Linked DNA regions of Mus musculus. The protein of the gene in region 1 purifies or fractionates together with the protein of each later gene. This does not show direct contact. Links are inferred from orthologs where the notes say so. Each region holds a gene or a part of one and is shown on either strand. Other genes may lie near its edges.

Region 1 (3,751 bases):
CTGCCTCTCTTGTGAAGAAGTTTACATCCCGGGGCTTGAAGGCAGGCCCCCTGCCCAGCACCAAGCAAGCCAAATCCTTTCCTGACACTAGAAGAATGAAAGCTAGTGTAAAGGTGCTGCCATGCAGTACAGACCTCAGGACATGTCTGCTTTCCATACCATGCCGGGAGGCCACACAGCTAGTAGGTCTCATGGACAGGGGGTCCTCAGCAGTACCCAGATCTAAGGATCAATGTCCACACAAGTTTCTTGCCAGGTTACCCTGTGGGCACTCACCAATGAAGTACAAAAGGCAGGTAGGAAATAGTGAGCTGCTGGAAGGACAGGAGTCTGTCCCACCTAGAACCCTGAAGGGGACACTAGACCTCTCTGAGCATGAGACTCATCTGGAAAAGGGCGAAACACAAGCTGAAACCTGCTACAGGTCCACAGGTGACAGAAGATAGAATAGCCAGAGAAGGACAGTGTATCACTGAGGTCCCACCAGGATTCCACAGGCCCCAGCCCACACTATGTACAACTAACATGGCACAGTGCCCTCAGACATCTGTGGAAGCCAGGCTGACACATACAGCAGGGCCATGCAGAGAAAGAGCAGCCTCAAACCACAGCTGCCACCCTAAATAGTAACAAGACAAGCAAACTCATAGAGTTCCGGAGAACAGTATGACCCCACACTACACCACAACGCTGTCCCTGAACTTGGCACATCCCACAGCTGTCACCCCATGTTGCAGATGAAACAGAGAGAACACACATATGAGCCCAGCCCATATTCACATCCTGCTATCATTCTTCCAGAGATCATGCTCCCCCGGGGTCTCAAAGATGTTAGTCCAACTCTATAATGGAGCCCCGATGTCCTGCATGCCAATCACACTGGGGTAAGCATCCTGTGTATCCCTGTTTATATTGGACACGTGCTCTGAATCTGGAAGTGACAAAGCAAAACACAGTAAGGGAACATACTACCCGGGGAATAAAACTGCTAGGTATCATCTTGCTGACACCCTGGCTCACTGGGTTCACTTTCCTAAATACTGGACAGCTAAACTCCTTCCCTTTTCCTTCCTACAAGGCAAATTTGTCCTAATCAATCAAAAGCTCAACACGACAAGGGACATAACCCTGGGCCAGGAAAGGTTTGACAGGCAAGGCTGTCCTGCTGATTTCTGGAAGGCAATGGGCTGGGCCTGCCCTCCCTACCCCATGGGAAATTTGGACTATAACCCTGCTGGTTTGGGTGCAGAGCCTCTTCCTACAAAAGTGTGTGTGTGTGTGTGTGTGTGTGTGTGTGTATACACATGAGCCTCCAGGGAGTTCAGCTCTGAAGAGGTGCAGTGTAGGGGAGGAGTACCCACCACCAGTCCAGGATGAAGGCAGGCCTGGAGGGCCTTACCCCGCCACACCCTGAAACAAACTGACAGGATCTGCAAAATGGCCTTGTGTGATAAGAGGTATAGTGGGCCATCACAGGGCGCCTCCCTTTTTCCCTCCTGCCTACAGTTCCTTATTTCCTGCTGGCAGCACACGCTGCGAGGATTCATCCCCTGCCAGCTTTCAGGCTATAAGGAAGAAGGCAGTGCCCTTGTGAGAACAGAGCTGGGGGTCAAGCCGTGTGGTCATTAAAGTGGAAGCGCCAAAGAGAGGGACACTGTAGGGCACTTGGACGGTGGGCAAAAGGCTCCTCCCTAATCCGAAACCTCTCGGCTGCCCCGCCCGAAGGTGGGGTCGTCTTCGCTGCGCGTGCGCCAGGCTACGCGGCCAGGGAACGCAGCCAAGGAAGGACTGCCCTCCACAGGCAGGACCCCTGTGGCTTAAGGACTTTCATAAATGAATAAAAAAAAACGTAAGTGGTCCAAATCCAGGTGCCAAGCTGAGCATCACTAAGTCGACCAGAGGGGTGATAGGCATGTAGGCCACCCATGTTCCCTCAGCGCCACCTCTAGAGACTACCCGCTCCCGGATCTGCCGACCCGAGGCCCATGCGGAATCCGCAGGCTCGTCACTCCGGGAACACCTAGGTCCCGGCTGGGTGTCCACGAGAAGGATCCTCGCGGGACCCCGGGCCAGGAAGACAGGCCCGGCTCGGTCACAGTCTGGGTCGCACCACCACAGGCCCCTTTGTCACCTGCGCGGGTCGCGAGCGGGCATCGGAAAATAGGGACGCGCACGCGCGTGCAGCAGTTCGCGCATGCGCATCACCCGTTGGCCTCCTGGGTTTCTCCCCCCCAACCAGGCGCGCGCGCAGCGAGCGCGCACGCGCACTCGCACACAAAGCCAGCGCCGCGCGCGCCCGGCCGCCCCGCCCCCGCCCCTCCACCCCCCGCCCGCAGCCGGAAATGCGCGCGCGCGGCCTTACCCAGCGGCAGGCCCTTGTTGAGCAAGTGGGAGCTGCCCATTGAAAGGTGCGGGTGGCCGCGGGCCCCGATGAGTCCGGCGCTCTCCGCCGCCGCGAGCCCTGCGCCTGGGGCGGCTTCGGCGCAGTCTGCTACTCCGCCCGGCCGCCTGCGCCCGGCCACCGCCGTGCCGAGCCGCCACCGCGCCGCCAGCCGCGCTCCGACCGACGAGCGGGCGGGGACACGCGGCGCGCGCGCGCGGGCGTGGCCTCGGTTGGTCTGCTGTTTGCAGGCAAGGCGGCGCGCTGGACGTACGCGGGCGGCTCAGGGGCCCAGCTGCCCGCCGGCCCGACGCTCGGCCCCCACCCCCAGCGCCCCTCCCAGGCTGGATTCCCTTCCTGGACACGCCCCCAGCTGTACCCGCCCCCGGCCTCCCCTCCCCTGCGCGTACCCCGGACTGCGCCCCTGCCACTCCTTGGCGCGGTGACCTGGGCCGGAGCCTGAGTGGTGAAGCAGCCCATCCGCGTGGGGCGCTACCAGTCTAGTCGCCGGGGCCTCAAGAGGACAGCGAGAGCGGTTCACTCGGCCCCTTGTGCGCTAGAGCTGGGGCCGCGGACCCAGGACCCAGGAGCTGGACAGCGCCCCAGCCAGGGAAAGTGATCTGTGCGCAGGGACAGATGCCCGCTGGCCACCCCAGAGTAAGCGACTGACTGTTGGTGGGACTGTCAGACAGGCGTAGCGAGGGATACCGCTTAGCTGTTAAAAAAAATAAAAATAAAAAAAAATAAAATAAAATAAAATAATAATAATAATTAATAATAATAATAATAATAACATCACGGGAACAGTCCAAACTGAAGGATGCTGAAGGCCATATGGTTACGAGTTTTGAAAATCAAATCTTTGAGAAAGGTGGGCAGTATCAATGAGGGATGACAAGGGCCTGGGCATCTGTTTACAGAAAAAATGCTTTGAAAATACCTTCCAATTCCATCTATTGGCAGACATGGATGGAGAAAAAGATCTAACAGGTGGAGTCTCAAACCTGCTACAGTATTTCCTAAATAGACTGAGGGCTAGGGGGGAAAGCCAGCAGATGTACACTTTCCCTTAATCCCCACCCCTATCCTGGACTGTCTCTCCTGGTCTGTTCCAGTTTTCTCGAGCTGCAGGTGACTCCCTACAGATCCATCCAAAGGGCTCCTCCCAGTTGTTCCATCCTAACATAGCAACTCCATGGCAGAGTGACACCTCCTATTCCTTCTCAGGCTGCCCAAATTCCCACTTTTTCTTGCACATTGTGACTAGGACCACCACATCACTCCATCCTTGTGAGGGATTATATCAGGGCTTGTATAAAAACCCTTAGGGCTCAAAAGATGGCCTAATAGGCCATCACTTGAAAGAGGCAC
Region 2 (3,651 bases), on another chromosome or scaffold:
ATTATCAAGTCATTGAAGGCTTTTTCTTATAAACTATTAAAAATATTTGTTTCAGGCAATCATAGGTAATAATATAATATTTCATGGTAGCAATGTGAAATTTGTAATTTTAAAATATTACCTATGAATTTTAAAATTCACAGGGAGTAGTACTTCAATGTAGGTAGTATTATAAAAGTTATAATTTTATAATATAATGCTTATTTTACAAGATAATTAAATTGTTATCTATGTAATTCCATTACCAAATCTTATTAGGAAATTTGTGAAGTCACTCTACCCAACCACCACCATCACCAACAACATAAATCAAAAGCCTATATGAAAATAGGCACAAATCTAGTTTTCTCTTTAAATATGATAGTGAGTTAAAGATTAAGTGGCTGCAACCCCTTTCTAACTCATCTTACTGACCCTCACACACAGTGTCCCTGACTCCGAAACATGTTTTAGTGAGTATCAAAATATTAAGTTACTTTGTTTTTTTTCTGTGGCTAACACTGACTTCAGAAGCAGCCATGAATGAATCAGTTTCATGGAACATAAGACAGATGACATGTCACTTGGTCATGACATGGTTGGCTCCCTGTGCTGAGAGGAAAAAACACAACAGAAGTGTGTGTGGCCCATCCCTAGTCATTCTTCACTTCTCAGATCACACGTTAGCAAGAGGGCAGGGGTTTTACAGACCTACAGATACTATAAAAAAAGTTTTAGTTTTTTATGCTCAAATAGAATTTAATATAAACAAGCACTATAATGGTTTAAACAAATCCTGTCATTTACCCAAGGGCTGGCTACCCATTACTGTGTAAATCCCAAATAAAAAACCCAAAAAACAATAGATGTAATAGCATCCGTCCGTCCTATTCCAGTCTTGAGTCAACCAAATGCGATAACATACGGTAGGGAAATATGGTGTTCAGTGAACTTGAGAAATCCTTATCATTCGTCATCACTGAACTAAATCCACCTCTCACTGAGGAAATGGGCTCCGGTATTAAGCTTCAAAAGACAGCAGCCCACAGTTTCAGGATACTTGGCAATATTTCTTTAATACACTTGACTACCAGTTAATACAATTGACTACCAATAACAATACACTTTCACCTATAATCAAAAACATGTAGAAGAATAAAAAGAAACACAAAGAAGCCAACAAAAGGCAACATCTTTACATTACAGAACAATGTGACTGGAGTACACAGAAGGTGAAATGGAGGATTGTTAATGCAAGAGAGAAGCAGGTGGAACTCTGGGAGTTTGAGGCCAGCCTGATCTGCATTAGCAATCTCCAGGACAGCTGGTTACAAAGTCAGACCCTGTCTCAAAAAAATTATTAAAAAAAAAAAAAAAGAAAGAAATATATTTTTCTCTTGTAACTCTGTGATCTCCCTACCAATCCCAAACTTTTCATGGGTGCAAAATAAAAAGTAAAAGAACAAATTTAAATAGGTTTGTTTTCTAAAGTAACATTAATATTGGTTCAATGACCTTCTGAATTAATAATTATATTAATATTTTAAATTATGAGGAAAAATACCTATTGAGGCAACTCTGATCAGAAACTTTAAAAAGATTCATTTACATTCAGCACTAGTAAAATAATTATTTATAACGTACATCTCTGCATCTGCTTACTGTACTCAGACATATTATCTGGTCTTATTGATCGTAGAAACTTGATATACTCATCGCTGTGGTATTTAGTCATTTCTTCAGCAGTGGCTTTATGAGGCCTCTGAAAAGAAAAACACCAGGATGTTGGAAGTATCAGTTGTTAAATGAGAATTATCAAATGATATGTGTAAGTTTCCACGATCAGTCTCTCTAAATGAACCAGATCCACCTGAGTAGCAAGTTACAATGCTAATTCAAATGCACACATTTGTGGCAGGCAGCAGGCAGCCGGCAGCCCCTCTCCAAGCGAGGCTACTCCTGTTTGTTCAGGCTCTTTCCCAGCATAGCCTCGCTGCTGTCTACCCACTGACTTTCATCAAAGGTTTCTAAGAACACCAGCTTGAGATCTCCCTTAGCCTTCGTTTATTCTAACTTCTGCTCTGAAGAGCTCAGCTTCACTTACCACAGACTTCTTCCACAAGTCTTCCCATTTCTCTAAAATACCTGTATCTTAAAGAAATGCTTCCTATAACACTGTCTAGCCCTCTTCTCCTGGAGTAGTTAGTTAAGCCTTATCCTACCTTGCACTTTTTATGTATGCTCCTGCCCATGTTTCGAAGACTTTTTAGGTGGCTGTGTATCTTACACCATTTTTTACTTACCTTGTTATCATTGGCAACATTTCATATGTATGTTAACCAAATAAATATTTATGATTAATTTTCTACCAAACTCTTGCAATAATTCAGGTCAATTCTCTTTTATTTCTTTTTAAAATTACACTGTGGTTACTTATTATTGGAGGTGTGTCCTCATGCCCACGTGGAATTAGAAAACAATTTGGGGGAATTAGGTCTCTCCTTCTACTGTGAGAGTTCTGGGGAAGGTAAACAGGCCATCCAGTTGGTGGCAAGCACCTCTACCTATTAAGTCATCTCACCAACCCCAGGACAATTGTTTCTAGCAGCACAGGCAACTTAACAGTATTGTCACAAAAATATTTGGTGTTTGAAATGATCAGAGGGAAGAGAGGACTACTCCAATTCCTTAAGCGTTCTCTGAGGGACACAACCACAAGACCTGTCTGTGTTCGTTCAGATCTTTTCATCTACCACATGCATCTCCCACAGCAGCCTAAGAAGAGCTTTCAAATACCAGTTTAAAAACACAGTGCCAACTAGTACTTACATATATTTCCATTTTTCGGTATAAACCATAATTTAGCAGCAAGTTATGAGTCATCCGGATTCTATGAGGCTTCATGGGATGACCCTGGCCATAATAATAATTGCCAATATCACCTAAAAGAGAAAAGATGCTTATTAAATACCACCACTGACATGTACCCAACATCAAAAAATTTATATTTAAACAAGAGTTGTTTTTGTAACATTCAAATTACATTAGAAATCTAATATATTATGCAGATTTTATACATGCCTAGGATTCACATTCTTTGTGGAGAGAGAAAGTTTTTCTGACTTTTAGTTTTCCAATTTCCCTGGTTTGGTTCCTTAAGGTGAAATCCATTTTTAGTGGATTTTTGTTGTTGTTGTTGTTCATTTTGTAAATTTAGATACATAAGAAGTATTCTTGAAGTACGGAGTAGGATCTAATTTGTCAGCTAGTAGTGCTTCTTGGATAACTTATTGGAATCCTGTAGAAATACCTTACAGTCGAGCTGGAATTATGGAAGGGCTTAAATGTTCAGTGTCCACAAGTGGGAGAGTCACAGCATTTTTCAGGGTAATAAAGACACTCTTGTCTTCATTTCTCAGGACTACACAGTAGTAGCCTGTGCATTAAAACATCTTAGATGCTGTGGTGGTTTGAATATGCTTGGCCCATGGGAAGTGGCATTATTAGGAGGTGGGGCCTTGTTAGAGAAAGTGTGTCACTATGGAGGTGGGTTTTGAGGCCTCCTATGCTCAGGCTCTACCTGGTATGGAAAAGGCCCTCCTCCTGGCTGCCTGTGAAGGAGTCTCCTGCTGCTGCCTTTGAATAAGGATGTAGAACCCTCTTCCAGCACTA

The links. The genes of interacting proteins can lie anywhere in the genome.
Region 2: the proteins of Ctbp1 (region 1) and Hdac2 purify together in Homo sapiens (affinity purification with western blotting; 7 studies listed by BioGRID and IntAct, with this or other methods). This does not show direct contact. The link is inferred for Mus musculus from reciprocal best matches to the Homo sapiens genes CTBP1 and HDAC2.

The regions. Positions count from the first base shown.
Region 1 is NC_000071.6:33,272,417-33,276,167, forward strand, and holds the start of Ctbp1 (C-terminal-binding protein 1), read right to left. Parts: upstream 2,589-3,751; 5' UTR 2,403-2,588; coding exon of another isoform or gene 2,363-2,402; intron 1-2,362. UniProt on the Homo sapiens protein: Corepressor targeting diverse transcription regulators such as GLIS2 or BCL6. Has dehydrogenase activity. Involved in controlling the equilibrium between tubular and stacked structures in the Golgi complex.
Region 2 is NC_000076.6:36,984,397-36,988,047, reverse strand, and holds part of Hdac2 (histone deacetylase 2), read right to left. Parts: intron 2,922-3,651; coding exon 2,809-2,921; intron 1,742-2,808; coding exon 1,624-1,741; intron 1-1,623. UniProt on the Homo sapiens protein: Histone deacetylase that catalyzes the deacetylation of lysine residues on the N-terminal part of the core histones (H2A, H2B, H3 and H4).